4 linked regions of the Saccharomyces cerevisiae S288C genome follow. Changing the gene in region 1 together with any one later gene gives a genetic interaction. Each region holds a gene or a part of one and is shown in the gene's direction. Other genes may lie near its edges.

Region 1 (8,445 bases):
ACCCCAATGAAACCATAATCATGTAAATGCTTGAAAATTCCGGGCATACTATCCTCTTCCTCAATAACCCAATCGAAGTAGAGTGCTAGTTGTGCACTATGTCCTTGCTGCTCATTAAATAAATTTACTGACAGTTTGGTGGAATTTCTTTGTTCGATCAGATAGTACTGTTAGGTATTTGTTGACATTTACTTCCCTATCACATCAGACCACTGTTTCTCCTTCCTTTTTGCCATCTTCTTACCTATTATATGATAATATAGTTCAAAAGGAAATACCAGTCAATGAATGATAATTGGCTCTTACTCCAACCGTTCTTAATCTGGACCAGTAATTGTTCTTATGGTGAAAAAGTATGGTGACGTCTTTACTTTTAAAAATATTTTTAACAGTTGAAGGAGCTCCCCGTGTACATCTTGCCAGATCTTCAAGAGAAATGTCACCAAATAAATTATGAAATTAAAGTACAGCGGTAGTGATAAAAACGATCATCAAGTAGTGCCATCCGATATTTCGTGTCAATTTCCAAGCTCATGATTTATGACATACAGGATTTTCAAGAATATTAAATCTTGTTCCTGAGGAATTTTTGATAAATCCAATAAATAGTAAATAATAAGAAAAAAGACAGAACAACAACGTTTTGGTGGGAGAAAGGCCACTTCTCTGACCAGACTAGAGTACTAATATTTACGACAAATATACTGAGACCGTGACCAATGGTAGAAGGTGATTGGCTTGAAAGAAATGCCAACATTAAAGCACATATCACTGCTCTTGATATCAGTAGAGTTGCAAAAAAATTATACTACTAAAATCAGCTCAACGGCAAGAAGTTACTAAGCACAGCAGAAATTCTGGAGCTAAAGAGAATAATATACATACAAGACTGACTGAAAACTCTGTTTTCCACATGCAGTGGACTCAAAATATTCAGTTGAAGAAGCAAGCACAAAATTGGATCAACCCGTCGCGTCGCGGCCGCTGCTGCAGGCGACAAATCCACTGGCAAATTGTACGCGGCCTCGTTACTCCTACTTGAAAACAGAAGTAACAACAACAAATTCAAGTTTCTACGAAATGGGTCTCATGACGACAAGGTGCGCCCCCCTATCTACCTTGTTGTAAGTCTGGGACCTGGGGCTAATTTCTCATCCCCGGAAACAAAAGTATACAACTACGTGGCTAAAAATTTTTTAGTATGCAGCACATAGGATGCCAAGGAGCAATTTTTAACCCTGGCAATCTGAGCTACTGAACGGCCGCCTCAGGACTCATAGTTCTCTATATATAATTTCTCCATGTTTCTCCTTGTGCCTGGTGGAAAATATCAAGTAGTTGCCGCGACATAAAATGAATGCCTCGTAGACACCGCGAAGCCGGAATGAAGGCGGACACTACGGCACCGCCTCAAACCCAACGGCCGAGAGCGAGTTCATCTCCCTCATAGATGCGAACGGCATTGGCACTGACGCCATCATTGTAGAACATATAGACAAGATTAAAATGCGTAATCACATCATGAATGGGAAGTTAGGTGCGGTCCACTACCCTGGGGGCCTCACTGGGGACGTCATCACCCCCAAAGCACCTCAATAAGTCCATAAATAAATATATAAAAATTACTGAATAATAATAAAAAAAATAAATTAGTTCAGTCTAAAGAAATGGAAGCAAAAACCTCAAAAAAAAAATTTTTTTACGAAGACTATGCTTCCAAGACTGACGTCTTAGAGGCATAGTCGAGAAGAAAAGGAATTACTGGCACAGAACGACAAGAAATATCGTGTCGGCGCCAAGGCATCTATGTAACTACGTCTTGTGATCACCGGTATAGCTGGGACTATTCCGTTTCATCATATGATCTGGCCGTCTGCGCTTGTACATTCTGGGCGCCAGGCGTAAATGACCAGAGTAATGTCTTGCTGTAGTCGTCCGTCGCCACAGAAGCGCGTGGACGCATGATCGCGCGCAGCGACCGGTCGGTTCGCAAGACGGTTGGCAATAGGAGTTTCCTGCTGACCGCCTTATTAATTTATATGAAAGAGGAGAATTTGTCATCGGGCTTTCGAATGAAATAAAACAGCTCCTTTAAGTAATGGAACTGGAAGAAGGAAGAGAATAAACGACAGAATTTTCGTGCTCGGAGCGAACACCGCGCCGGGTTACGAACAACAGTGGCCACTACTATAATAGTTATGGAGTAGACGTCAGAATATATAGCGCAGGCGTCAGAGTATAGCGCGGGCGTCAGGATATAGTGTGCCAATGTAGCGTGGTTGCATGCAGCTAGCTTTTTAGTTGAGTCAGACCTGCTCCAAAAAAAGAGGAACACAACTTTCGTCAGCATGTGTTGCTACCGCTATTTGTTCTTCGGGGAAAAAAATTTGCATTCGCTATTGTAGTTTTAATTTTCCTTCTCTATTCTCATAAATAGAGTTAAAATCTTATAAACTCCAGAATTATCAAGAACAATTACCTATATTATTTCCTATTGCAGAATTTATATTATTCTTTATTGTACTGATATCCCCATTATAACTATCAAAAAAAGGACTTCAGCACCTGTATCATCATGAGCTTCAGTAGTATAGTCTCTAAGTTTTTGAGATATTTAGAAATTCCTGCCAAAAATAGGACTGCCGTGAATTTTCTGAGGAACCCTGATTTGCAACCTATCAAGTCTGCAAATCAAACATGGGGGTTCTGGTCTAATTTGGCGTACTGGGGCGCTGTGTCCTTTACAGCAGGTACATGGATGAGTGGTTCTGCTGCACTAAGTGTCGGCCTAAGTTACCCAGAGACCATTGTTTCGTTTCTTCTCGGTAATGTCTTGACCATTATTTTCACTATGGCCAACTCTTACCCCGGTTATGATTGGAAAATCGGTTTCACCTTGGCCCAAAGATTCGTTTTTGGCATTTACGGTTCAGCCTTCGGTATCATCATTAGAATTTTGATGAGTATTGTCAATTATGGTTCCAACGCTTGGTTGGGTGGTCTATCTATCAACATGATATTAGATTCCTGGTCCCACCACTATCTGCACCTGCCCAATACTTTGTCCCCAAGTGTTGCCATGACCACCAAGCAGTTGGTCGGCTTCATTATTTTCCACGTCCTCACCGCGCTCTGCTATTTCATGAAACCCTACCATATGAACTACCTTTTAATTTGGTCATGTGTAGCTACTTGCTTTGCCATGCTGGGTATAGTGATTTACTTGACTAAGAATGCCCATGGTGTCGGTGAATTGTTTACCTCCACAAAATCTACCGTTACTGGTTCTAAAAGAGCATGGGCTTGGGTTTACATGATTTCATACTGGTTCGGTTCCATTTCTCCAGGTTCCACCAACCAAAGTGACTATTCAAGATTCGGTTCCTCCAATTTGGCTATCTGGACCGGTAGCGTCTGTGCATTACTAATCCCAGCAACCTTGGTCCCAATCTTCGGTGTCATTAGTGCCTCCACCTGCGACAAATTATACGGTAAACAATTTTGGATGCCCATGGATATATTCGATTATTGGTTGACAAACAACTATTCTGCAGGCGCTCGCGCAGGTGCCTTCTTCTGTGGTCTTTGCTTTACCATGTCTCAAATGTCCTCCACCATCTCCAACTGTGGGTTTGCCACTGGTATGGATATGGCCGGTTTGTTGCCCAAATACGTCGATATCAAGAGAGGTGCTCTTTTTTGCGCATGTATCTCCTGGGCTTGTTTGCCATGGAACTTCTACAACTCTTCTTCTACTTTCTTAACTGTCATGAGTTCTTTCGGTGTTGTCATGACTCCTATTATTGCTGTCATGATCTGTGATAACTTTCTGATCAGGAAGAGGCAATATTCCATTACTAATGCCTTTATTCTAAAGGGTGAATACTATTTTACCAAGGGTGTCAACTGGAGAGCTATCGTTGCCTGGGTGTGTGGTATGGCTCCCGGTCTACCTGGTATCGCTTGGGAAGTCAACAATAACTATTTCCACGACTCAGGTATTGTTAAATTCTTTTATGGTGATTCTTTCTTCTCCTTTTTGATTTCTTTTTTCGTTTACTGGGGGCTATGTGTCTTCTTCCCATTCAAAATTACTGTTAGACATGATGACAAAGATTACTATGGTGCATTTACCGACGAAGAAGCGAGAAAGAAGGGCATGATTCCATACAGTGAAATTTCTGAGGAAGAAATCCGTGCTTACACGTTAGGCGAATGCTACACAACTGGACACGAATACAAACCTGAGAGTTCTGATAACGAATCACCTGAATTGATCAAAACTAGCTCAGAAAACACTAACGTATTTGAAATCGTTCACCAAAAGGATGATGAAAAGCACTCCTTTAGTACCACTCAACAAGTTGTCTGATGACAAAGAATCCGATAAAATGAAGATCTCAAATATACAAAGAGGAAACTTCAACGCTTCATTTGAAAATCTGTACAGATCTTACAATTTGGGAATACTACCAGATCGATCCTCAGCTGCAAATACTTTACTGTCAAGTATGTCTATGGTGACAAATATCGGCATTATTGTGTATGGCTCAATAATTTTATAAAAAAAGGAACTATTGGTTCTTAGTATTTTCTTGCTAGAAGACATATTCTTACCAATCCTTTCATAAGCTAATTATGCCATCCATATAGCAAGAGAATCCGGTGGGGGCGCCATGCCTATCCGGCGGCAACATTATTACTCTGGTATACGGGCGTAACTCCATAATATGCCACCACTTACCTTTAACATGTTCATGGTAGGTACCCCACCCAGCCATAAGGAAATTTTCAAAGGCGTTGGATCAAAAAATAGGCCTTTATTTCATCGCGTGATTGAGGAGCATAACATGTTTAGTGAAGGTTTCTTTTGGAAAACTTCAGTCGCTCATTATTAGAACCAGGGAGGTCCAGGCTTTGCTGGTGGGAGAGAAAGCTTATGAAGCTGGGGTTGCAGATTTGTCGATTGGTCGCCAGTACACAGTTTTAAAAAGTCAGAGAATGTAGAGAAGTATGGATCTTTGAAACCCTTTTATTTTATTTTACTTTTTTTAGAATGACCTGTTCCCGACACTATGTAAGATCTAGCTTTTAACATATTATGGAAACCTGAAATGTAAAATCTGAATTTTTGTATATGTGTTTATATTTGGGTAGTTCTTTTGAGGAAAGCATGCATAGACTTGCTGTACGAACTTTATGTGACTTGTAGTGACGCTGTTTCATGAGACTTTAGCCCTTTGAACATATTATCATATCTCAGCTTGAAATACTATAGATTTACTTTTGCAGCCATTTCTTGGTGCTCCAAGGTTGTGCGTATCTATTACTTAATTTCTGTCCTTGCCAAGTTTTGCAGCAGGGCGGTCACAAGACTCCTCTGCCGTCATTCCTTAGTCCTTCGGGAACACACTTATTTATGTATTTGTATTCTACAATTCTACGGTGCACAAGGGTTGGGCACTGTTGAGCTCAGCACGCAACTATTGCTGGCATGAAGATAAGATTGATTTTTGGAAGAATAAGCTTGTGGAAGTTACCTGTCTCTTATTTTTTTTTCCTTTTTGCACTTTTTTTTGGTGATCACTTAGGTAACAATCTATAACACAGCAGTATGAACCCACTAGTTAACCATTCTGCGCCGATGGTATACCTTTTTCATTGCTTAATTGTCTGTGAGAGGCTTGATAAGCTAAGGCTCATGGCGATAAATCCACGATGAACTCGTTTAATGCAAAATATAGGTCGCGGCTTGCCGGGTACCAAGTCGCAACAAAGCTCCCCGAATTGTTTCGCCCATTCATCTGACAGGACAGAATGCCAAACATATGATGCATGATGCAGCAAAGAGCACAGTAATCACTATTTTCTGCATATCATATAGCCAGATTGCTATAGTGTTTGGCTTTTGTCCTGCTGTTAATTGTTTTGTTTTCTTTCTATTTTTATAACTATTATTGGAGAGTAGATCAAGGATACAAATAACAACAACAACCACCAATACCGACCACTTAATAAAAGTAACCATATAATGGGTGTGAGATCCGCTGCAAAGGAAATGCACGAACGGGACCATAATTCGGACAGTTCCAGTTTAGTAACTTCCCTGATGAAATCTTGGAGGATATCGTCGGCTTCTTCCTCCAAGAAGCCATCGTTATACAAAATGAATACTACTGAATCTACTAGTTTACCCTCGGGTTATGCTTCCTCGGCAGATAGAGATCGGAGAACCAGTGACGGTAATTTTGAAGCTATGGCAAAGCAACAAGCAAGCACTAGACGTACCTCGAATTCCTATTCACCTCTACGATATGTAAACCCCACTCTAAGCACTGCAAGTAACGAAAGTCCCCGGCCTGCTTTACTCTTACGTCAGCATCACCAGCGTCATCACCACCATCAACAACCCCGCCATAGCAGTAGTGGTAGTGTAGGCAACAATTGCAGTAACAGTACAGAGCCTAACAAAAAGGGTGATCGATATTTCAAAGACTTAGATGAGGATTGGAGTGCTGTTATTGACGATTATAATATGCCTATTCCTATACTTACTAACGGTGGATTTGGTACACCTGTAGCTCCAACGAGAACTTTGTCGCGAAAATCCACTTCTTCTTCCATCAATTCGATTTCGAATATGGGGACCTCCGCAGTACGGAATTCTTCCTCCTCTTTTACATACCCTCAATTACCACAGCTGCAAAAAGAGAAAACAAATGATTCCAAGAAAACTCAGTTGGAAATCGAAAACGAACGGGATGTTCAAGAATTAAACTCCATCATCCAGCGCATTTCTAAATTTGACAATATTTTGAAAGATAAGACAATCATAAATCAACAGGATCTGCGCCAGATCAGTTGGAATGGTATCCCAAAAATACACAGGCCTGTTGTTTGGAAATTATTAATAGGTTATTTGCCTGTGAACACCAAGAGACAGGAGGGTTTCTTACAAAGGAAGAGGAAAGAATATAGGGATAGTCTGAAACATACCTTTTCTGACCAGCACTCAAGAGATATCCCAACTTGGCATCAGATAGAGATAGATATACCGAGAACAAATCCCCACATTCCCCTCTACCAGTTCAAATCCGTACAGAACAGTTTACAACGAATACTATATCTTTGGGCAATCAGGCATCCTGCTAGCGGATATGTGCAAGGTATTAATGATTTAGTTACACCATTTTTCGAGACTTTTCTTACCGAATATCTGCCGCCTTCACAAATAGATGATGTAGAGATAAAGGACCCCTCTACTTATATGGTAGATGAACAGATTACAGATTTAGAAGCGGACACGTTTTGGTGTCTTACCAAATTGCTCGAACAAATTACCGATAACTATATTCACGGACAACCAGGCATATTAAGACAAGTGAAGAATTTGAGTCAGCTAGTGAAACGAATTGATGCTGATCTATATAACCATTTTCAAAATGAACATGTGGAGTTTATACAGTTTGCATTCAGATGGATGAATTGCCTTTTGATGAGAGAATTTCAAATGGGTACAGTAATAAGGATGTGGGACACATATTTATCTGAAACTTCACAAGAGGTCACTTCTTCTTATTCTATGTCGTCCAATGACATTAAACCTCCTGTTACTCCAACAGAACCTCGAGTGGCAAGTTTTGTTACACCAACAAAAGATTTCCAATCTCCCACCACAGCTCTTTCTAATATGACACCAAACAATGCTGTTGAAGACAGTGGAAAAATGAGACAGTCTTCGTTGAATGAGTTTCATGTGTTTGTTTGTGCTGCATTCCTCATCAAGTGGAGTGACCAGCTAATGGAAATGGATTTCCAAGAAACTATAACTTTCTTACAGAACCCTCCTACAAAGGACTGGACTGAAACGGATATTGAAATGCTTCTGAGCGAAGCCTTTATTTGGCAATCTCTTTACAAAGATGCTACGTCGCACTGGCTGTAAACGGACCTATTCATTTTACTTACTGTATAGTATGTAATAATATAAAACAAAAATCTCCTAATTCATAAATCCTGAGGAACGTGACACATAAAGTTATTGTATACAGATCATCTAAAGATTGGTTTGGTAGAATGTCTCCCAAAGCTCGATGCATTCTTTTTGAGATTCAATGGCCGCTTCTAGTGATATTTCCATGCCGTTTCGGAATTCCCGAATTTTATCAGTAGAGAAACCTTGGAATTCATCTTTTATTTTATCTCCTACCGCTTGCCATTGTTTTTTTGTAAGGTTATACCTTCTCTCCAATGTTTGAAATTCCTTTCTCATTTCTCTGAATTTTTCTGAATGAATATTTTGACCCAATTTGCCCAATTGTGAGTGTTTCTTATTCATGTCATTTTCTATTACTACCAAGAAATACCCCAATTTGGATCTCTGATTGAAAATTGCTTTTACGCTTGCCAATGACCTAATATAGTCGTCCAGCATCACACCCATCG
Region 2 (7,775 bases), on another chromosome or scaffold:
CGTGTTTTTTCTGGCAAGTACGAAAACGGCATCTTCGAACTTGGCGAATGAACAATCGGTTTGGTTCAACATTTCCAAGAACAACTACAACATACTATCAGTGTTACTTTCAAAAGTCTTTTAATACATTTGAAATGATATTCAGTGGAAGTGGAATGAAATAGGCCACAGTGAATAGGCCACGATACACACAGCATGTGTCATGCTCAATACCTTGCACCTGAATCTATATAATCTTGTAGTTCACCATTATATACATAACTCAGAAGAAGAAAACAATACGCATATTGGATAGTGCTCCATCGCTTTTAACAACTGATAATTTCAGTCATCTGGCTCAGGGTCTTGTCGATTTTTTTTATTTAGAAACTATCCGAATAAAAAAACCGCAGGAATACAAAGCGATGGGAATTGCTATTTCACTGAACATGTATGTATACCGTATACCGCATAAAATAACTATAAACCTACACCATTAAACGATGTGTGCAAAGAAGCTCAAATACGCTGCTGGCGATGACTTTGTACGCTATGCTACACCTAAAGAGGCCATGGAGGAAACTAGACGTGAATTCGAGAAAGAGAAACAACGACAGCAACAAATAAAGGTTACTCAAGCACAAACTCCCAACACTAGAGTCCACTCAGCTCCAATTCCCTTACAAACTCAATATAACAAAAACAGAGCAGAAAACGGTCACCACTCCTATGGTTCTCCCCAAAGTTATTCTCCAAGACATACGAAAACACCTGTGGATCCTAGATATAATGTTATCGCACAGAAACCAGCAGGCAGGCCTATACCTCCAGCGCCAACCCATTATAACAACTTGAACACTTCCGCTCAACGGATAGCTTCCTCTCCTCCTCCCCTAATTCACAATCAAGCAGTGCCTGCACAACTCTTGAAGAAAGTTGCACCTGCTTCGTTCGATAGCAGAGAAGATGTACGAGACATGCAAGTGGCCACACAGCTATTTCATAACCATGATGTAAAGGGCAAAAACCGACTGACAGCTGAGGAACTACAGAACTTACTACAAAACGACGACAACTCCCATTTTTGTATATCATCAGTAGATGCGCTGATAAATTTATTTGGTGCTTCCAGGTTTGGCACTGTCAACCAGGCAGAATTCATCGCCCTATACAAAAGAGTGAAAAGTTGGAGAAAAGTTTATGTGGACAATGATATCAACGGATCGCTCACCATTTCTGTAAGCGAATTTCATAACTCACTTCAAGAACTAGGATATCTAATACCTTTTGAAGTTAGCGAGAAAACATTTGACCAATATGCTGAGTTTATAAACAGAAATGGAACAGGAAAAGAACTAAAGTTTGATAAATTCGTTGAGGCGTTAGTTTGGCTAATGAGATTAACAAAATTATTCAGGAAATTCGATACTAATCAAGAAGGCATTGCAACCATACAGTACAAAGATTTTATCGATGCTACATTATATTTAGGTCGTTTCCTACCTCATTGATGAAAACCATTCGTTCTTTCTGGTCGTAATACAAATAGAAGAGGTAAACCAATCAATGGCCCGTTAGTTTGCCATTTGCTGCATCCTTCCCATGCAAAGTGTCTTCGTATTTAGTGATGTTTTGTTAGCGACACAAAAGAGACCTCGATGACAGACATTTTTTTTTCTTTACTTAATGTATTATAAGTGTGTCTGACCTCGACTATCATTATAATATTAATTTGAAGTTCTATTTTACATTTATATGAGTTATTCCATTACATAATAAGGATATCAAGAGCAGATTAGTGTCTTTTAGATTATACATCTTTTTCCCCCCTTTTTTGTTGTTGGTAGTGGAAAGAAAAGGATCAATTAACAGAAATAAATAAATAAATAATAAAAACCTAAAATTCCTTTTGCGTCATTGAATTTTTATTATGAAGTCAAAAGGGAGTCGGTTGTCAACAGACTGTCCTGTCGAATTTCCCAAGATAGTCTCTGGATTCGCTGAGGAAGTGAAAATACGTAGACAAAGTTCCCAAGGACAGTACGCCGTCGATTCACATCCTCCGAAAAGCCCTGAACTGAAACACAGAAGACAGAGGTCATCCTCTTTTGTTAACGGTAAATGCAGGAACAGGGACCTTCCATTGTTAGATAACAAGAAAGCACAAGAAATAAACACCAATTCACACGGCCAAGACATCGGTATCAAAAACTTACCACGTCAACGTGAGTTGTTGAATGCCAAAAATGGAATTGATTTTACGCTGATGGTGGCGGGTCAAAGTGGATTGGGTAAAACCACGTTTATCAATTCCTTATTTTCTACTTCTTTAATTGATGATGACATCAAAGAAAACAAACCTATTATTCGTTATAAAAGCATTGTAGAAGGAGATGGAACACACCTTAATTTCAACGTCATCGATACACCTGGTTTTGGTAACAATATGGATAATGCATTTACGTGGAGGACAATGGTTAACTATATTGATGAAGAAATAAGATCGTACATTTTCCAAGAAGAACAACCTGATAGGACAAAAATGGTTGATAATAGAGTCCATTGTTGTTTGTACTTTCTGAGACCTTCAAATAAGGGAATTGATACTTTAGACGTCGTAACAATGAAAAAATTAGCGAAGAGAGTGAATTTAATCCCGGTTATTGCTAAATCAGATTTGCTAACGAAAGAGGAATTGAAAAACTTCAAAACACAAGTTAGAGAAATAATAAGAGTACAAGATATCCCTGTATGTTTCTTTTTCGGCGATGAAGTTTTGAATGCAACACAAGATATTTTTCAAAAATATCCATTCAGTATAATTGCATCTAATGAGTACATTTTTAATGAAAAGGGCGAAAAAGTTAAAGGAAGACAATACAAATGGGGCGCTGTTGACATTGAAAATGAAAAGTACTGTGACTTCAAAATCTTGCAAAAGACGATTTTTGATTGGAATTTAATTGATCTTGTAGAAAGTACCGAGGATTATTATGAAAAATGCAGATCTGAAATGCTAAGAACTAGGCTATTAAAGGCCAGAGATTGCTTAACAACGAAAAGTGTTGACATAACGGAAGAACAAAGGAAATTTTTGGAGGAAGAAATGAACTTCGATGAAATCGAGGAAAACAAACTCAAAAATTACAAGTGCTATGAAATAATTAATAAAACGGTCATGGATAAGGTGGCTACAGAATGGGATCCTGAATTTATAACTAGACAATTAGAAGCTAAGAAAAAATTCAACGAGCTGTCCAACAGAGAAATTTCAAAATTTCGAGACTGGAAAAAGAGCCTATTCATGGAACAAGAGAATTTTAACCAAGAGATTGAACAATTGAATCACAAGTTGGAAAACTTACAACTGGAATGTCAGGACTTGGAATACAAGCTGTTAATCGGAAAAAGTTCCAACAGCCATTCCACAGATAGTGCTACTTTAGTAAACGTTCACATCAAAAGGTAGTATTAATTAAAAAAAAAAAAAAGCCAATAATTTCGCGCAAGCTTTGCTCTACATAATAAAAATACAATTAGGATAGAAATGAATATTTTTTTAGCGGCAGTTTTACCATAAGTAGCAAAACCCTAACAATACAATGTGAGACTAAAGTAAATCCGGGTAATACAAAATACAATTTTTTTTTATTCTTCACAGCGTTTTTTCGACGGAGGAGGGAAAAAAAAAAATTGTATTTAAGGCATCAAATGCGCGACATCATATACCTTTGTCCGCTGTTATCATACCTTGAACCTCTACATTTCAGCCTAGCGCGCGCAAAAAGAAAAAAAAATCATAAGCAAGAGTGGTACGGTAACCACAAGGCAATGCAAAGAAGGGTGCGATATCAAGTGATGTTACCTTCCTTTACTTTTTGCCTTTTTCTTGAATTGTCAATCCGCCCTTTTTTTCTTTTCAGTTTTTTCTCCTTTCATCCGTCTCGTTTATCATAATGATGATTTCACTTATACCTATATGTTTTTTCTGGCATCTCTAATGTTAGGATGTGAAGTTTAAGTACTCTCCATTCAATGAATACAATTTTTGACAATATCTGATTTTACTATGATTAAACAGACCGAGGGAGAAAAAAAAAAGGAACTAAAAAAGGGCCTACGTAGAAGATGATGTAAAAGTAGATTCGCATCTGAGAATGTTTTCTTCAAATTTTTCTTTTCGGCCTTGGCGCAGAAGACTTTCTCTTCGTCCGCGTCGTATAGGAAACAAAAAAGTGTAAAAAGTAAAAATCGGTATATTACGCAATCCATTCGTTACCCGGTGTAGTCACGTGCGGGTGCGGAGGGCAGCCGTTTAAACCCGTTTGGGCCTTGGTCCGATAGAACCATCTCGCAGGAAAGAGCAGAGCCAGTTATCGGGTGTCGTTTACGCCCAGATGTCGTTTAGCCAGCTCCGCAACGGCCACTGCCACTACCACTGCCTCCCTTCGTATACGGGACACAGAGATCGTATACGGTAAACGACTAGCACTAGGACAATAGCAACTAACAATGACCGATAACAGTCAGCAACCTCAAGGCACCTGGCACAAAACCGTCGAGGAAGAGGCCCTTTGCCACCGTATCGCATCGCTTTCCCACCAATTTTTTTTTTCTTGCTTGCCTCGCCTCTGCTGTGGTCGTATTATTATTATTCATTCTCTGCGCAGTTTAAACTATATACACACGATTAATCCGTTATGCATGTACATTTTCTTGTATGCGTACGCCTGTGTATGCATACTTCTATATAATATATAATACAGGAGGATCTATTCTTTTTTTTCTTCTTCTCTTCTTCTCTCCCTTTTTTCTCTCTCTTCGTTTCTTTCCTTCCAGTAAATCTTTATATTAGTTGTAACTTTTTCTCTTTAGATAGTAGCATAGAGGACTAAGGAAAAGTAGTACAGCCATAAAAAAAAGAGGAAAAGATGTCTGCCGTTTTCAACAACGCTACCCTTTCAGGTCTAGTCCAAGCAAGCACCTACTCACAAACTTTGCAAAATGTCGCCCATTACCAACCTCAATTGAATTTCATGGAGAAATACTGGGCCGCATGGTACAGTTACATGAACAATGATGTTTTGGCCACCGGTCTAATGTTCTTTTTATTGCATGAATTTATGTATTTCTTTAGATGTTTGCCATGGTTCATCATCGACCAAATTCCATACTTTAGAAGATGGAAGTTACAACCAACTAAGATTCCAAGTGCTAAGGAACAACTATACTGTTTGAAATCCGTTCTTCTATCTCATTTCTTGGTCGAGGCCATCCCTATCTGGACCTTCCACCCAATGTGTGAAAAATTAGGTATTACTGTCGAAGTTCCATTCCCATCTTTGAAAACAATGGCTCTAGAAATTGGTCTATTCTTCGTCTTGGAAGATACATGGCATTACTGGGCTCACCGTCTATTCCACTACGGTGTCTTCTACAAGTACATTCACAAGCAACATCACAGATACGCTGCTCCATTCGGTCTTTCTGCTGAATATGCTCATCCTGCTGAAACTTTGTCTTTGGGTTTTGGTACCGTTGGTATGCCAATTCTTTACGTCATGTACACTGGTAAATTACACTTGTTCACTCTATGTGTATGGATCACCCTAAGATTATTCCAAGCTGTTGACTCTCATTCTGGTTATGACTTCCCATGGTCTTTGAACAAGATCATGCCATTCTGGGCTGGCGCTGAACACCACGATTTGCATCATCACTACTTTATTGGTAACTACGCTTCCTCTTTCAGATGGTGGGATTACTGTCTAGACACTGAATCTGGTCCAGAAGCTAAGGCCTCCAGAGAAGAAAGAATGAAGAAGAGAGCTGAAAACAATGCTCAAAAGAAGACTAACTAAGAGAAGAAACATACTTCAAAAAAAAAAAAAAGAAAAACAACAAAAAAACGTATAAAATGAAATAAATTTCGAACCGCTTTTTTTCCTTTTTTTTTTTTTTACTTTGTTTGACCTCCCCTAACTCTTTCTTTTTACCTTCACAATTGTTTATTTTAATATATGATTTTTAAATTAATTCAGGTTAATTCTAAAAACTATATTGCAATCTTTTAAATATATGTATACACGTTCATTACCACGTATACATATCCATATATATATATATATATATACATACTATTTATGATAAATTTTTAACAAGCAAACCCATTATTAAATGCTATAAATAAAAGACAGCTTCTTTCTAATTATTATTCAAACTTAAAAACTACATATACAAAAACTACAAAAATCTTTCAACCGACCCATCTTCTGGCAGATCTGAATAATCTAATCCATGGACCGTATCCACCCCACTCTTCGTATTTGCCCTCTGGATACCAGGAATTGGCCTCCAATCTGCAAACTCTTTCAGGATGTGGCATCATGGCAAGCACTCTACCATTTGGTGACTTGATACCGGCAATACCATTGGTCGACCCATTGGGGTTGAAGGGGAACCTTTCGGTGACGTTACCGTAGTTGTCCACATACCTTATACAACATAAACCATCCTTTTCGAACTTTTCCAGTTGTTCAGCGCTTTTAGAAAATGTTGCTTTACCTTCACCATGTGCGACAGCAATTGGCAATTTGGATCCTGCCATGCCATTCAAGAAAACAGATTCCTCGCTAGAATTGTCCTTTTCTTGAGATATTTGCACCATACATACACGGGCTTCATATTGTTCACTAACATTTCTTTCGAAACTTGGCCAGTTTTCACACCCGGGTATGATATCTTTTAATCTACTCAAGAATTGACAACCATTACAAGCACCAAAAGCAAATGTATCTTGTCTTTCATTGAAGAACTTAGAAAATTGCGAGCGCACACCTTCGTGATACAATACGGATTTAGCCCAACCCGCACCTGCACCTAAGACATCACCATAAGAGAAACCACCACATGCGGCAAGACCGATGAAGTCATCCAAATGGAACCTACCTTCTAGCAAATCTGTCATAGTGACATCCACTGAGTTGAATCCAGCTTGTTGGAAGCACCATGCCATTTCCATTTGACCGTTCACACCTTGCTCTCTTAAGATAGCAACCTTTGGCCTTTGACTGGATAATTCTAATCCGATCTTCATATCATCGGCTGGGTTGTATGTTAGGGCATACTGCAAACCGGGATCTCTATCGTCCGTGATACTGGCAAACTCTTCTTCGGCTGTTTTTGGATTGTCTCTCAATTTCTGCATTTCGTAAGATGTCTTACTCCAAGTTTGCTCCAATTCAGATCTCGAATTGGCGTAAATTACATCATTTGTTGTGGAGTTAATAATCTTGATTTCCTGGCTTTGGAAGGATGGCTTACCAACAATAGAAATATATTCTTTAGCAACTCCGTTCTCGTTCAAGATTTTTTCGAACTTGCTCAAGTTCTTAGCAGAAATCTGGAATACTGCACCTAATTCTTCATTGAATAGGTTTGTTAATTGACTTTCTAGGTCTCCACCGTCAATGTTGATTTCTAAGCCGCATCTGGAAGCAAATGCCATTTCCAGTAAAGTGATTAGTAGACCACCATCAGACCTATCATGGTAGGCAAGCACTATATCCTCCTTTTGTTGATGCAATTGGATTAAACTTTCCAAGAAACCCTTCAAAATGGCGTTATCATACACAGTAGGCGACTTGTTACCAACTTGGTTGTAAACTTGCAACAAAGCAGAGGCACCTAGTGACTTAGTCTCTTGTTTAGCTGATAGATCAACCAAGACAAGGACAGAATCATCTGTGTTTCTATTTAGCAATGGAGTCCACGTTTTACTAGTGTTGAAAACTGGT
Region 3 (7,774 bases), on another chromosome or scaffold:
CAATGCTTGCATACCTAGTTCGTCACAGGGATTGAGGCATTGATGGGCGAGACCTTGAATAGCAGCTATAATCTCATTCTTGTTGAGTGCTGAATTACTCCTCCCAACAGTCGAAAGTAGGTCTGCAGTTATATTAATGGAACGACTAGAAAGATCAATAATAGAACGGTATGGATTGGATTCAGGTGCTTCACACCCATCCTCGACTGAATTTTCATAATTTTGTTCCCATTTTGTGCCAACGGCACCTGCACATGACATTTCATCAAGCAGACTTAATATGTTCATAAAGTTCCCATCATCTACAAAGATATCACCATTTTGAATGTATTTTTCCAAAAATGTGTAGACGGCAAATTGGCGGTCTTTGGCTGATATTAATATCCTTAAAAAATTCCAAAATTTTACATTTTTGAGAGCCCGCTCATTGTATTTTACGTCATTGAGATGTGTAAACAGATCATTTATTACTTGCTTCCCCCATTCACTTTCATAATATTTAGTATTGAAGATTTCATTTTTTACCAAAAAGTCGTGTTCTATTAAATCACTTAAAATGTCCCGTGGATTATCAAATCTCGAAACCAAAAACATTTTATACGAGGCAAGTCTTGCAATAGCCTCCTTGGAAAGGCCATCTAAATTCGAAATATTAATCATATGATCAGCAATTAGTGCTCCAAATTCTTGTCCATAAGAAGCCTCTGATATTAATATAATGGATATTTCCAACAAAAAGAGAAGTTCTTGTTCGAAATAGGGCGAATTTTCACTCGTTTTTTCAATCACAAGTGAAGAGAGAAGAGTTTCAATCATCTTAGGACTGACGAGTTGATTGTTCTCAAAGACTGAACTGAGAGGATGGCTAGCCTTAACGCACTCAAATGCTTTAATGGAAAAATCGATGTCTTCTTCCGAAGGTTCTTCATCGCCTTTCAAGTAAGAGGCGAAAGTAGACAGAAGGCTTCTGCTCATCTTTGCCTTGCGGATCGATATATCTGGATCTGGCAATGGTAGTTCAGGAAGTTTCAAGAGTGAATGAAAGTTTGTAAAAAATGGTAAATTAGGTTCCATCAATAAATTCTCGAATAATTTCAAAATGAGTTGCACAATCTGGTTCCATAGTCTGGTAGAAACAATGCTAGGATCACTTATTTCTTTAATGATTTGAAAGTACAATACGGTACATAACTGAGCCTTAAAGTTTTGTCCAAGTCTTATACTCTGGTTACTAACGGATATCTTCGACCCAGTGTCTTCGACGAATATCTCGACCAAAGGAATACTGTCAACATCTAGCTCCACCGCTTTTGCGCTACTTTGTGCCAATGTTGTCATTTCTCCCAGATGAAGTACAGTATCATTATATGACTGGTCAAAAGAAAAGTAATAGTTGATAAATGTACACTTACTAATGGCGTCCAAGATACGTAATGATATTTGATCACTGGAAGCAACTGTGAATATTTTGAATAAAGTCTTCAGGATAATATCTCTAACATTTGAGAAAATTGCTTTCTCATACTGAAGTATGTCTATTTGCGCTAACTTAGAAATAGGGTTTGTGAAATCTCTTTGCATCTCTGTCATCACAGATGTTGAGGATATTAAGTTATTCCAGGCATCTTCAAACCACCTTTCATTTCCATGATGTTCTTCAGGCATTACTATTTCCTTAACTTTGATGGACGTGTAAATTTTATGCAAATACCAACGAGGAAAATCTTTTCCATTGTAGCATCCTCGTAAATTGTTAGAGTAGTCATCAAAAGTCATATGGTCTTTAACCTGCGGGTTATGTGAATCGGTATTTAACATGATTATCGAATAACTTAACACAAACACAGAGTCTGCATCAGGCTGTACATGAATGATGTCATCTTCTGTCATTGACTCTGAGCCATTTTTTCCTGCTTTTTTATCCTCTAACTCCACTTTATCATTGCTTTGATCAGCAGAATATTTTGATGAAAATGCTTCAACGATTCTTTCAATCTGTTGAGATTCCCCTGGTAATCTGAATTTCGTCAGCAAAATTCTGATCGCTTCATCAACCCTTAACCCTTTAAAATCGAATAGATCTATAAATTCTTTTAACAATGAAGTTTTTTTCGGATCACAAAGTAATAGACCGATGGTTTTCTTATTTAAACGTCCGTTATTGAGAAACAAAAATGAAGCAATGTCTCTATTAGAATCCGAATCAATGAATCCTTTTTCAATTAACATTTGAATGCCTTTCTTTGCCTTTTCATTAAATGTTTCAACGCATAATATGAATTCAGTCTTTCTGTCTCTCTGTTTCAAAATATCAATTTCTTTCTGATTTTTTACGAATTCTGCCCTATCAAATCTCTGCAGATCATTGTATATATTTTCAATAAGCGAAAGTACACCTTCTAGGCAAATTGGAGGAATGTTGTTAGAGGTATTAACGGCCGCCGCTGGTAAAGAAAATTTAGTTAGCTCTTTTATAAAGTCAATCGAAAGATCCGACCTATCCAAATTACAATCGAAATTTACAAAAAGTTGCAAAAAGAAAGCGGGAGAGTGAATCCACAGTATTGAAAGTTGTTCAATAATTAATTCCCTGATTGCAGGTGGTTTTTGCTTACTAACGTCACCACTGATTGTGGTATCCTCTAGAATTTCGAATATTCTCCTTAAAGTCAGTTCAATCTGCATAGGCAAATAATCACCCAATATCACAACCAAACTCGTGAATAATTGTAAAGTTGCTTGCAAAAGAGAATACTGGGTAGAACTTTGTATAATGAATAAAACACTTTTAAATATTGGATCAGAAATTAAGCTGAATAACCGGGGATATAGAGGAAATTTGTCACCGGATATTTCAATGGCTGCATTGATTAACTGTAGAGATAATTTCATGGCCGAAGTTGTGTGCTTCATTCTATTCTCTGGCATAACCAGTGATAACAATAATCCAAGATAATCCTTTATAACTGTTATTCCGTAATTTGGCTCGACATTTTCGGCTTTCTCAGCCGTTTCCTCATCATTTTCCTGTTCCCTTATGACCTGTTGGACTGGCTTCTCATTTTTATTATCGTCTGCAACAGCACTGTCATCATCAGTGCTACTCAAATCGTTATCAGAGGTAGTCGTACCTATAATGTCATCCTTCAAATTATTGTCGGTGTAACTTTCATCATTGATATATTTTTCTGTTTTTGTAGGTGGATCTAGTAACTTCAACTTTGTAAATAGTTTAACGGTTATCCCTGCAATTGTAACTTCAGCCGTTTTCCTCAAAACCTCGCTTCTCTGCGTATTACATGCCAAGGAAAGTGTCGTTTGTAAAACATCGTAGATTATAGTATCGGAGAGATAGTCTCCAAAGGAAGAGGTTATAATATCGCGTAGTAATGTTACAACTTTTAATAAAACAGAGTCGTCCGAAATTTGCTTTGAAGCTTCAAATCTACAATGTGTAAGCGCAACAACGGTTTCCCTAACGGCAATTTGAATATCATTAAATGTTTTGTTTATGATTTTTAGTGTAAAAACTTTCTGCAACGAGTCCAGAGCCAGAGAAGTAGTATAACCCGATACTGAACTAGCGCTGACTATTTCTAAAAATGGTTTCAAAAGTTCCAAGGCGTTTAATGAATCTAAACCCTTCAAGTCGTTAATTTTTAGCCGCAGCTGTACTAAACCAGATATCAGAGGATCATGATAGCTAGAAGTAGGCAAATTGTGGAAGCTGTCAACAAACGAATCACTTTGACTCAAGAATATATCACTACCTCCGCCCAGCAACGCGGCCACACTTGTTTGTGATTTATCTCTGGACTGCTTGTTCATGGCAGAACAAAGATTGATGCACTCTTTGACAATCATCGTAGCTGGGTTCACGGCCAAAACAGTTTCCATTGGCACGTCGTGCATTTTGTATATGAAGCCGTATTAGTTAAACCTGGGCGCTTCTTACCAAAGTTGCGAATTAACTTAACTAAGATGGTTCAATTCTCTGTGTAAAGTATCCATATTAAAAGGTCTTAGTTCCAACATGTAAACAAAGAGATCTATATATTGTTTTTTTTCCAATGCGCTGAGTGATGAAGTGATTAGAAAATCATAAAAATGAGAAACTGCAAAGAAAAAAAAAGTCGTTATTCTGAAAGGTGTTCGGCAGCAACAACCTACATCCAACGCGATGATTCAAGATCCCCTTGTATATTTAGACATCTCCATTGATAAAAAACCAATTGGTCGTATTGTCTGCAAACTTTTTCGTGAGAAGGCTCCTAAAACAACAGAGAATTTTTATAAGTTATGCGCTGGTGATGTTAAGAGTCCTTTGAAGGATCAACAGTACCTGAGCTATAAGGGAAATGGTTTTCATAGAGTCGTTAAGAATTTTATGATCCAGGCAGGTGACATTGTCTTTGGGACACAAAAGGATTCCTCTTCATCGTCTGTTGGAAAAGGTGGATGTTCAATTTACGCTGATAAAGAGGAAGTGAAAACCGATGATGAATCTTTCTGTTACGGGAATTTTGAAGACGAAAACTTGGGAGAGTTTGTAGAACCCTTTACCTTAGGTATGGCCAATTTAGGTTCTCCAAATACGAACAATTCCCAGTTTTTCATAACTACATACGCCGCACCTCATTTGAACGGCAAGCATTCTATTTTTGGGCAGGTGGTTCATGGAAAATCAGTGGTTCGCACTATAGAAAACTGCAGGGTAGATTCTGATGGAGTCCCTGAATCAGACGTTAGAATCAGCGACTGTGGAGTGTGGGAAAAAACTATGGGTGTCCCGCTTTACAACGCTTCTAATGACCAAATTGGCGGTGACGTATACGAAGAATATCCAGACGATGATACACATTTCGGTGACGATGATTTTGGTAAGGCTCTTGAGGCTGCTAATATAATCAAAGAATCTGGGACGCTCTTATTTAAGAAAAAGGATTACTCTAATGCCTTTTTCAAATACAGAAAATCTTTAAATTATATCAATGAATACATGCCTGAACCCGACGTAGACAAAGAAAGAAACATCCAATTTATTAACCTAAAGATGAAAATTTACCTAAATTTATCTTTGGTGCTCTTTAATCTGGAAAGATACGATGATGCTATCATGTATGCTACGTATTTATTGGAGATGGATAACGTTCCTAACAGAGATCAAGCAAAGGCTTATTATAGAAGAGGTAACAGTTACTTAAAAAAAAAGAGACTAGACGAAGCTTTACAAGATTATATTTTTTGTAAAGAGAAAAATCCCGATGACGAAGTTATAGAACAAAGAATAGAATATGTCAATAGGCTCATAGAAGAGAATAAGGAAAAGACAAGAAAGAATATATCAAAGTTTTTCTCCTAATTAGTTACTTGTAAGGCTGAAATTTGAGATTAAATAACCCAATATGAAAACACTACATTAATAAGATGTAATTATTTTTATTTATAAATCCATTTATTTGATAAAAAATATGATATCATACAAAGTCATCTAGTAAGTTCTTGGTAATAGCAGATTTTTTTGGCTTCTGTGGCTTTTGTGATGAAAGATCATCTAATATGTCCTTAGAGAGTTTATCTTTCCTATTTTCTGAGTTGTCTGTTTCACCCACAGAGTCGTTTGGCGCTTTTGGAGTTAAATTCTCTTTATGCTGAGAATATGAAGGAGAGACGAACTCATCCAGTATACTTCTAGGTGCAGAAGAAGAACTTTGAGCGAGGGAATTTGAAGAAGTGCTATTTGGTGGTGGTTGCAAGAAGTCGTCTAATAAGCTATTTGGTAACTTTGGATTAGGTGACTCTATATCTGAAGCACTTGGCGAGCCAAACTTATCAAAAAGACTGGGCCTCATCCTAGCAGTAGAAATTGGTTCAGACGCCATGGCGCCAATAGCAGAATATGCTCTATCCTTGGTGGGGCTCTTTAATAGCTTCTGAACTGGTATGGAATTTCTTTCGATGAACTTCCAATTCTTCACAAGTGAAACCGCCAGGTAATTGCAACCCATTCGGCAAAGAATATCAGTAACTCTTAAGATCAGAGTACACTCGATTTTTGCTTCAACATTTAGAGATCCAATGAAATACTTCAAGTTTCTGTTTCTCAGGTGATTGTATAGATAGAGCAAAGCAGGGTCTTCAACAAGGAATGATCTGTTAACACAGACTTCCTTATCAACAATGCTTGAGTTGTTTTCTAAATCAATCGGAGCAGTCAGCAAAGCTTTAATAGCCACTTCCTGCTTTCTCAATTTCCAGTAAATGAAACTTGCTTTCCATCTATCATTCTCCTTTATTGTTTCAGGTAGCATTTGCGCTGTCAATAGCTCTCCCAACACGGGTCCATTATCACCTTCATAAACACGACATACACCGATTGCCAAATCCATATCATGCACTTGCTTGCAAAGAACGTTGACACAATCTTTTAGAGAGTCAGTTAAGAGAAAGAAAACTGCTGCATCCATATATCTATGCTTACTTAGCAGAACAAAAGCATTTTTGAGTGCTGCCGTTCTCCACCTCGGTACAGTGAAATCATTACTGATAAATCTAACCATCTTTTGCTGCTCAGGATGACCAATAGCCATCTTCCACAAGCTCAATAGTATCTGTTTTTTCTTCAACGCAAGATAAAAAATAGCACAACGGCTTGGATCCCTCTTATCATCTTTGGAAAATTCATATTTTGCAATATCCTCGAATTTCTTCACCAAGTCCTGCTCCTTAATCCAATAGGCTATTCTATATTCTCGAGCGCGATTCCATGAGGTTATGTGGCGGTCAATAGAAGATAATAATATTTCTTTATTGTCTGAGTGCAATGCCCAAGACACATCCCTCATCAATATGCTTTTTTGAATATTTTTATGTGATAAAAATAACTTCACGCCCAACAAGAACCTAACACCGTTGTAATCTACTATATTCTCATTTTTGGTGACTTCATCCACTGCTTCAATGACTGTGATAAGCGTGATCTGCTGGTGGCGGGTTAGATAAGGCAAAGTTGTTTTCGTTAGTTGCTCAGTAAGTGCTAGAGACACTGTCTTATTGAAACAGGGGTATGGATCAGGGAAAGATTCGACCGGATAGTCTCTATCTTTAGCAATAAAGTACTTTAATGGATCCATTCCTAGATTGGAATCCAAATTAGATACATCTTGCGATTCAAAGTCTAATTTTCTTAACGCTAAAAACAATCTTAATAACAGCTCCTTGACAAGTTGTAACTTATTCGCATAAATGGCTTGAATCAAAAATTGTGGATGATAAACTGGAAGTGGACCATTTAAAACACTACTTAAATGGAGAATATCATTTGATAAAATTTTTCTTGAACCAATTGATTGGTACGTAAATGGATCAGTCAAATCCAGAGATTTATCCTTGATGTAAAATTGATTTCCGGAAGCAACAACAAACGTGCCATTTTTCATCCATACGGAGTCACCTATATTATGAGCTGTATGTGCTGTGATATCAATTTTTTCAATAGGTAGGTAACTAGGTGTGTTGTTCGTGTAATCATACCTTAATTGAGTATAAAGTAAAGCGTATCCTGTAAATCCGATAGAGACAATGCTTTGGCCATATTCCGTGCTTGTCCAATCTATATCCTCGATAGGATTATGAAATGTTTCTTCGTATTCAAGAACTCCCCTGTTCAGGTCCCATAGTGACATTACTTTACCAGTAGAATTAACAATACATAACTTACCTGTAGATGATCCTCTAATACATGTACAATTCATTATTCCGGTGTTAATTTCAC
Region 4 (7,792 bases), on another chromosome or scaffold:
ATAATCATTTAAGCATCTCCCTTCCGGGCCTTCTTTAATCGTTATTGCGGTCCGGGTTCCTCGCGTAGTTACTCGCCGCTCATTGGTTCTCCATCACGTGATAAACATTTCTTCCAAATAAATGAGAACGTTCATTAAATATCGAATAATTCACTTATTATATCTCCATCATATACTTACTAGTTCTAGCGACAGCTCCTATTCATATATCTTCTTACTTTTTTTTTGTTTTATCGACAATTGCTCTACGTTTCGACGTCTAGAAAATGTACTAAAACAGTGCGCTCTCTACCCATAAGGATGAAGAATACGTAATAACAAGAGTTTATTCTCCTTAGTATGTATTTGATAGCACACTCAGAAAGATGAGTTACTACTTGGAAAATCTCAAAAGCTCTTGATGCCCAGCTCATACATAAAAAAACGCCGGAGAACTTTAGCGTCACCAGTTACTGCGACACGGCTTTTAGAGAGGAAAGTAAAGGTCTATGAGTAAAAAGATAGATTATGTTATGCTACATTATATTTGGTATTGAAACATGTATATTATATATAAAAAGTCTAAGAGAGAAATGTCAAAATATCCTAGAAGGTAATGGTTGTCATAACCTGTACATTCTAAAACAGAATGAGAAAAAAGAGGGAATGACGAGAAATTAGCTGAAAAATACTGGCATTAGCCCTTTTTGTGGAAAACATTTGGTAAGTCTAATTTAGAGACTTCCCATGAGCCGCTACCTTCAACTTTATTTCTGTAACTCACTATTATACGCAAGTATTTCATGAACAAAAAGGCCATGGAACCAACCACCCTAAAGGCAGCTAAAGCGGCCACAGACCATAAAATGAATATCAAATAACCATTGTCAGTATCTTGTGGTGTAAAGACTTGAATTATAGACATGATCAGTATTAGATTTGATAGCATCCAAATCATCACAATTCTGGTTCTTATATCTCTATAATAATCATTCTTGGATTGTTTTTCATTGCCGCTTGATTCTTCAAATTCTGGTTCTTTCAAACGACTTTTTATTTCCAAAAACTTCTTATCAACTTCCTGAGGCCAATCTGTTTCCACAATCTGTTTCCCATCTGGACCTTGAACGACAATGGCCTTGGACAATTGCTTGGACTCCTGTGTGGAACCTTTAGTACCCCAGGAAACGTCGTGTGTATTACAGAAGGCAAAAATCTGTAAAGTACACGTAAAGGCGGGAAGTGTCAAAAAGTATTGTATGGATGATGTAAACATGTGCCAAGGATCTAGGTACATCAGTGATGAGAAAAAGTATAGGCCATAGGTGGAGAGCAATGAGATAACGATGTCGACAAATATTTTGTGGGATTCCGTTCCAGAAGCTAACGACTTGAAAGCAAAAACAAACCCACAAATTAGAGAATATGTGGCACATATAGACAGTATAACCATGGAGGTAATGAATAAATGTTTCGCGCCCTGGGGTCTATTACCCATGGAAATAATGAATAAACTTGCCAAGTCACAAAAGATCAGGTATTTAAAAAAAATGAATAAGGCCTCACCATGTTTAATAACTAAATTCATTGATCCTGCTAAATAATAAAAGGTAAGAACGAAATTTGCAATAGAAAACCAGGAAAAAAGCATCTGAATAAATTGATAAAGGAATTCAACATGAAGAAAGAACTTGCGTACAACAGAATGTTTAGTTTTCCAAATTTGGTAGAAATGCAATTGAGCATAAATTGCGGCAAACATTGCACCATTTAACCAACGTCTTCTTTGAGAAATAAATTCAGAAACGTCTTCGGGAACATCCGTTTCACCAGTGGCTTCCTTAACATATTTTAGAACCCATTTTGCATCTCGCTTGGCGACCAATTCCCAACAAAGAATTCTATCTTCAGCCAAGTACATATTTGCAGTGAAAACATCATGGTCTCTGCCTTCTTGAGTTTCACCAAGGAAATACGATCTGAGAGGGCCAGTGCCATCTTCATGATTTTTTAAGGCTCTATACCTATATGCGGACAGGGCACCAGGAAGAACAGAGATATAACCAAAAACACTTTCTAATGGTTTATCTAAAATATTCGAGATCTTATATTCAAAATTTTGCGATGCAACTAATGGATTGAAAAGTTTCAGTCCCCACTTCCCCTTCATAGTCTTAATCTGACCAGCCGCACCAGCCACATTTGAATCCATATCAAAAACCTTCCATAACCTGTAAATTGCTGTATTGTTTAAACGTGTACCGACATCAACCAAAGTAACTACAGTAGGTTGCAAAACGGGACAAAACGCGTTGAATAGCCAACGATGGGAATTGATCTTTTTCTTATTTTCTTCTTTTAGACAAAAAACCAATTGCACAGGAACAATGTCCTTTGAAACATAATCCAGATCGGCGTTGATAGAGACCTGAGTTGTCAATTCAAAAATGTGCGCTTTTACCGGATCACCATTCACAGACGCCTTGGCCATATCTTCTTGATAAACACCCAAAGCAGCTAAATAGTCGAGAGACCCTTGGTTGACTTTTGCTCTACCGTCACTAATCAGAATTACAGAGACTTTCTTCCAGCCATTGGGGCCCCAAACATGAGATTTTTCACGCTTACAAAGATGAGCAACATTCTTCATAATGGAGTGGATGGTTCTTGCCAATGAATATTTATCTTCATTGTACATGGTAATACAAATGGCAATTTGACATTCTCTGTTCATCTCTGCGAATCTCAAAGTGTAACCTTCTCTCAAAAAATCGTCAGGTTCCACAGTGCAGGCTGTATATCTCATTTCCGTAAACTCAGGGGAGTTCCTACGAGGCAAAGTATCCAACAGACCTTTTGGTATCGGGTTGTCTAGTTTCAATAGTGCCTTCTTCTTGCTTGGGGGAGGCAAGTCTGAGACCATTCTTCTCTTACTCTCAGAATTGGCACGTCTTACATACTGCTGTCTTGTTGGATGGTTCAGTTCAAATTTTGTTTCATTGAAAGTGTCTGCAGAGAAAATTGTAGACTGATCATCATAGGAAGTAGTCGAAGTGAGGTATTTTTCCTTTTCATCGTCTGCTTCTGCCAGAGAGGGAGCCGTTGTGGAAGTAGTAGACATCGTGTATTTCGAGCTTTGAGAATACAATCTGCCACTTCCAAACAGATTGTTACTGGGCTGTTGCTGGGGTGATAGATGGTAGGGGTCTACCGGTAGATCTGCATTATCGCGGGGGTAAAGGTTACTCCCCTCACTTAGATGTATGACAGCCTCGCCTGCTCTTTTGGGAGACTCTTGTAGATTAGCAGCATACCTGTTCGGAGCAACTGGAGAGTTATGGGCACTATCGCGGTAAAATTGAGTTCTATGGCGACGGTCTGGGGAGTATCTTAGTGCAGCTCTCGAAGGAGATGCCGGAAGGCCTTGGAAAACGTTAGATTGGTCATAGCTATCCTCCAAACTCTCCTCACTGGGATTAGCCCACCGAGAGTTGCTGTTAGCGTTTGCGTAAAATTTGGAGAGGTTTGAAGCACCACGTCTATTAGGAGAGCCATTCGAAGGTTCCACCATAAACGGGTTTCTCGTCATTTCTATATGTGGTTCTTTGGTTTTTATTTGGGTCTATATGTAACTTCCTCTGTTTTCTCTTCTGAGTCACGAAATCAACAGTAATATTATGGAAGATAGTTAAATAGACTGGGGCCATCCCAAGGGAGAGTCCTCGAATTCCCAATTGAAACTAAATTGAAGTTCTGTAAATTTCAATATCGATGCTATCATACTCAAATAGGAAATATATAAACAAATAGTATAGGGGTTTATACTAGGGTTTTAAACCCCAAAAAACTAACCCTACTATCTTCTTTTCAGACCCTAAATTGAAGGAAATAAACGGGAATAATAATCAATAGCGATCTCCCGAAGAGAAAAGTGAGAAAATAGTATAATTGTGTCTATTGTGTTTATAATCGGCATTAGAAACGTATGTTCGTATAAGGCAAGGGAAACAGAAAAAACAGCAAACGTAGAAAAGATGCTGAAGTTGTCAAGAAGTGCCAATCTAAGATTGGTCCAATTGCCAGCCGCAAGATTAAGTGGCAATGGCGCTAAATTGCTCACTCAAAGGGGATTCTTTACTGTAACGCGCTTATGGCAGTCAAATGGCAAGAAACCATTAAGCAGAGTACCTGTGGGCGGTACTCCCATTAAGGATAACGGCAAAGTGCGAGAAGGCTCGATCGAGTTTTCCACGGGAAAGGCCATTGCTCTATTCCTAGCAGTCGGTGGGGCACTTTCTTATTTCTTCAACAGGGAGAAACGCAGATTGGAAACACAGAAGGAGGCTGAAGCAAACAGAGGATACGGTAAACCTTCACTTGGGGGACCCTTCCATCTGGAGGATATGTATGGCAATGAGTTTACGGAGAAAAACCTTCTCGGTAAGTTTTCTATAATATACTTTGGGTTTAGTAACTGTCCTGACATCTGTCCTGATGAACTGGATAAGCTAGGTCTATGGCTTAATACACTCTCTTCAAAGTATGGTATTACTCTGCAGCCATTATTTATAACTTGTGATCCAGCAAGAGACTCCCCTGCTGTATTGAAAGAGTATTTGAGCGACTTTCATCCCTCCATCCTGGGTTTGACGGGGACGTTCGATGAGGTGAAGAACGCATGCAAGAAGTACAGAGTATACTTTTCTACGCCTCCAAACGTCAAACCGGGCCAAGATTATTTGGTAGACCATTCCATCTTCTTTTATCTCATGGACCCTGAAGGACAGTTTGTTGATGCTTTGGGTAGAAATTATGATGAAAAAACGGGCGTGGACAAGATCGTGGAACACGTTAAGAGTTATGTGCCTGCAGAGCAGCGCGCCAAGCAGAAGGAGGCATGGTACTCCTTCTTATTCAAATAAGATTGTAAATATATGCTACTTTCTTCCTTGTATATACATATATACTTATAACGCTATAACCCGTTCTTGTAATATCGGCTATCACCCGGCGAAGGTGTATCGCAAGAAAAAAAAAAGCTCTCTCACTCTAAAGGAGGCTATGTGAACGTGGGAAGATCAAGTGAAAGAAATGTTTGTAGGCCATTTTCTTCCAGAACAGATCCGCTCTTGAGCTGGTGAGTTAGCACGATAACAAACAAAGATACAGCGTCATGTCTACCACACTACTTTGGTTTTCAAGTGTAATAGGCTACGTGATTCAAACAAAATGTTTGTCTAACATACAATCTAAAAAGGAAATCTCCGTGGGGCCCAATGGTACAATTGCAACGCCTGAAACTAACGGCGACAACGGAAACTCAAGTTCATTAACCTTCTATCTGACCTTTATGTATTTTGCTTCGTGGCTGCTCTTGGTGCCTGCATCTCGACTTTGGGAGAAGATGAGACCGATGTTTGTCTCTGACTCAGACTCGAACAGGAATTCTCAGTTTGACAACAACAACAGCGGGTCTGTGACAAACGAAGATGTCGATACGTTCTCGCACGTGTTGGATGATCCTCAACCACGGATTCCAGCCCAACAGCAGAAGCAAAAAATCATATCCGTGGCTACCTTCAAATATGTGGCTAAGCTAACAGTGCTGGCTCTCATAATGATTGTCGCTGATTTGACTTATAACATGGCTTTGTCATTGTCACCGGCATTTGATGTTGCTTTGATGCAAAATACTGCCATTTTCGAAATTGTCACTTTACTATATGGTGTTTGTGGAATCTCCAGGAAGAACTACGTTTTCCGTAATTTCCTCATCATGATGAACGCGGTCATTGGAATTTTGATCATCTCATACACGAAGGCTACCTGTGACATGCTTGCCGGAAAGCTGTCCGTCAACCCTAACACGGGTGAACTTTCTGACCCATTCTTGTTTGATAGGTTGAAAGGTGCTCTGATTTGCGGCCTTGGTGCTTTGATTATGGGTCCTTTTGCCGTGTTATGGAACCGTTGGTTTTGCAGTAACATTTCCAAGAACGAAAATTCTGCTGTAGTCTTGGTTAAGCAGAGCACCCACATGGCCCTAATCGGTATTATTGGCATGGTAATACTTTTGCCATTTATTCCTAAATTTCCCTCCCGTGAGTCTGTGGAATCCATTTCGTTGTTCTATAATGACAAGAGCTTTTGGTTCTCTCTACTAGGCTCGATTATCTTTGGTTCCTTGCCGAGCTTGATTTCGATATTAGAGTTGAATCGCAAGGCCCCTGCTGAGTATTTGACGACGTGCAACCTGGGAGCTATTATCTTTATGGGGTTAGCTGAGTGGGTTTGCGAACCTACGCAAACCACAATTGTGAGATGGGAAGTCATAGGATACATAATGCTAACGGTAAGTTTGTTGGTCCTATCAGTAACACTCGGGGAAGGTAAATACCACCATTAGTACGGACAACATACTTTATATGACTGATGATGATGTAACAAGCATATGCAATTATTTGGTTTCCCTAAATAAAAAATCCCAATCAATATCTTGATTATTTTCAAGACAATTACTAGGATGTTCTTCTATTTTTTTATTTTTATTTGTATATTGTATATTCTAAAAAGAAGAAGCCATTTGGTGGGCTTTATTATAAATATTAAGAGGCATACCTCCGCCTATCCGCCTATCCTCGTCATGAACAATCAATTAAAAGCGCTTATAAAGCGATATACAAGTACAGTACGCGCGATTTCTACAATACAAAAAATATACATCAAGAAAAAAAATGTTTCCAAAAATTATCTAAATGCATCGAAGGCATTAGGAGAAGTAGCTGTGAATACAACACCAAGATTCATAAAATGAACACACGGTTCCTTCCGCTTGGAAAATAATGCGACAAAAATACCGTATTGATCATCAAAGTAGTTTTAATAGATACCTAAAAAAACCATCTTGAAAAATCTCAAATTACGTTCTTGATCTTGTGTCATTGTTCAGTTACTGATCGCCCGCAAACCTAACCGATGCTTAAGAAAGGACACCCTTGCCTTTTGGCTTATTTACCTACTCGTATTTTTCTCTGTCACATCGTTCGATGTACGGGGCACATTTGGAAATTTCATCAGTAAGTTCAGTGAATAGATTTTTTATTTTACCTTTTTGTAGTGGGATTTATTCTTTTAAAGGCAAAAATCTACTGAAAAAACGGAAAAAACTAGAATAAACCATTTCTATATATACTCATGTTCCCTGACGTTCTTTTTCCTTTTTCTTTTTCCAGAGTTAACGATAAGATAGACATAAAGTGACAGCGCTTAGCACCGTCTGTTTGCAAATCTAACTTAAACTCCTTTTTTTCTGTCACCTTAAACAGTGTCAGAAAAAATACTAGGTATAAGAAAACGAGAAAAAAATAAACAGCGAACTCGTGCAAACTTTGCTAATAAACAATTAGCTGTAACATTTGTGTGTGGGTGTGGTGATGGTAGGCTTCCCATGGTAATTAAAAGGTTAGGTCGAGAAGAGGATCGGTACGAAGAAGGAATAACAGGAATAAGTTCAAAAACACTGCTTTAGCAACTAAATGCAATAGCAGTGTTTAAGAATTTACGGTTTGCATTTTCTAAACTCAGATTTTAGCCATCTATAAGTAGAAACACAATAAAAAACCACAAATTGCGCACACACAAGCATCTACACTGACACCAGCATACTCGAAATTCTTTGGAAAAGAAAAGAGCAGCAGGCTATCAACTGAAAGATCAATCCGAAATCCGACACTATCTCTTCACCATCGAGTGCCTACCAAATTTCTGAGGCCTGCATGATGGAAAACTCAAACGTAGAATGTACAAAAAACAC

The links.
Region 2: mutations in GYP1 (region 1) and ERG25 together harm fitness more than expected from each alone (negative genetic interaction), as found in Saccharomyces cerevisiae (5 studies listed by BioGRID).
Region 3: mutations in GYP1 (region 1) and CPR7 are lethal when combined (synthetic lethality), as found in Saccharomyces cerevisiae (5 studies listed by BioGRID, with this or other methods).
Region 4: mutations in GYP1 (region 1) and CSG2 together harm fitness more than expected from each alone (negative genetic interaction), as found in Saccharomyces cerevisiae (5 studies listed by BioGRID, with this or other methods).

What each region holds. Positions count from the first base shown.
Region 1 is NC_001147.6:455,407-463,851, reverse strand, and holds GYP1 (GTPase-activating protein GYP1), read left to right. Parts: upstream 1-6,031; coding exon 6,032-7,945; downstream 7,946-8,445. Other genes in the region: YOR072W (uncharacterized protein), read right to left, coding at 2,036-2,350; NRT1 (nicotinamide riboside transporter), read left to right, coding at 2,576-4,372; VPS5 (sorting nexin 1), read right to left, coding at 8,057-8,445. UniProt on the Saccharomyces cerevisiae protein: GTPase-activating protein (GAP) that stimulates specifically the intrinsic GTPase activity of Ypt/Rab-type GTPases YPT1 and YPT7. Functions on the Golgi as a negative regulator of YPT1. Functions on the vacuole as a negative regulator of YPT7.
Region 2 is NC_001139.9:605,654-613,428, forward strand, and holds ERG25 (methylsterol monooxygenase), read left to right. Parts: upstream 1-4,910; coding exon 4,911-5,840; downstream 5,841-7,775. Other genes in the region: PEF1 (Pef1p), read left to right, coding at 483-1,490; septin SPR3, read left to right, coding at 1,910-3,448; ADE6 (phosphoribosylformylglycinamidine synthase), read right to left, coding at 6,236-7,775.
Region 3 is NC_001142.9:486,901-494,674, forward strand, and holds CPR7 (peptidylprolyl isomerase CPR7), read left to right. Parts: upstream 1-4,180; coding exon 4,181-5,362; downstream 5,363-7,774. Other genes in the region: Arf family guanine nucleotide exchange factor GEA1, read right to left, coding at 1-3,912; RAV1 (Rav1p), read right to left, coding at 5,478-7,774. UniProt on the Saccharomyces cerevisiae protein: PPIases accelerate the folding of proteins. It catalyzes the cis-trans isomerization of proline imidic peptide bonds in oligopeptides. Plays a major role in negative regulation of the heat shock transcription factor (HSF).
Region 4 is NC_001134.8:307,674-315,465, reverse strand, and holds CSG2 (mannosylinositol phosphorylceramide synthase regulatory subunit), read left to right. Parts: upstream 1-5,152; coding exon 5,153-6,385; downstream 6,386-7,792. Other genes in the region: chitin synthase CHS2, read right to left, coding at 677-3,568; Cu-binding protein SCO1, read left to right, coding at 4,014-4,901. UniProt on the Saccharomyces cerevisiae protein: Required for calcium regulation. May regulate calcium accumulation by a non-vacuole organelle. Also regulates the activity of CSH1 and SUR1 during mannosyl phosphorylinositol ceramide synthesis.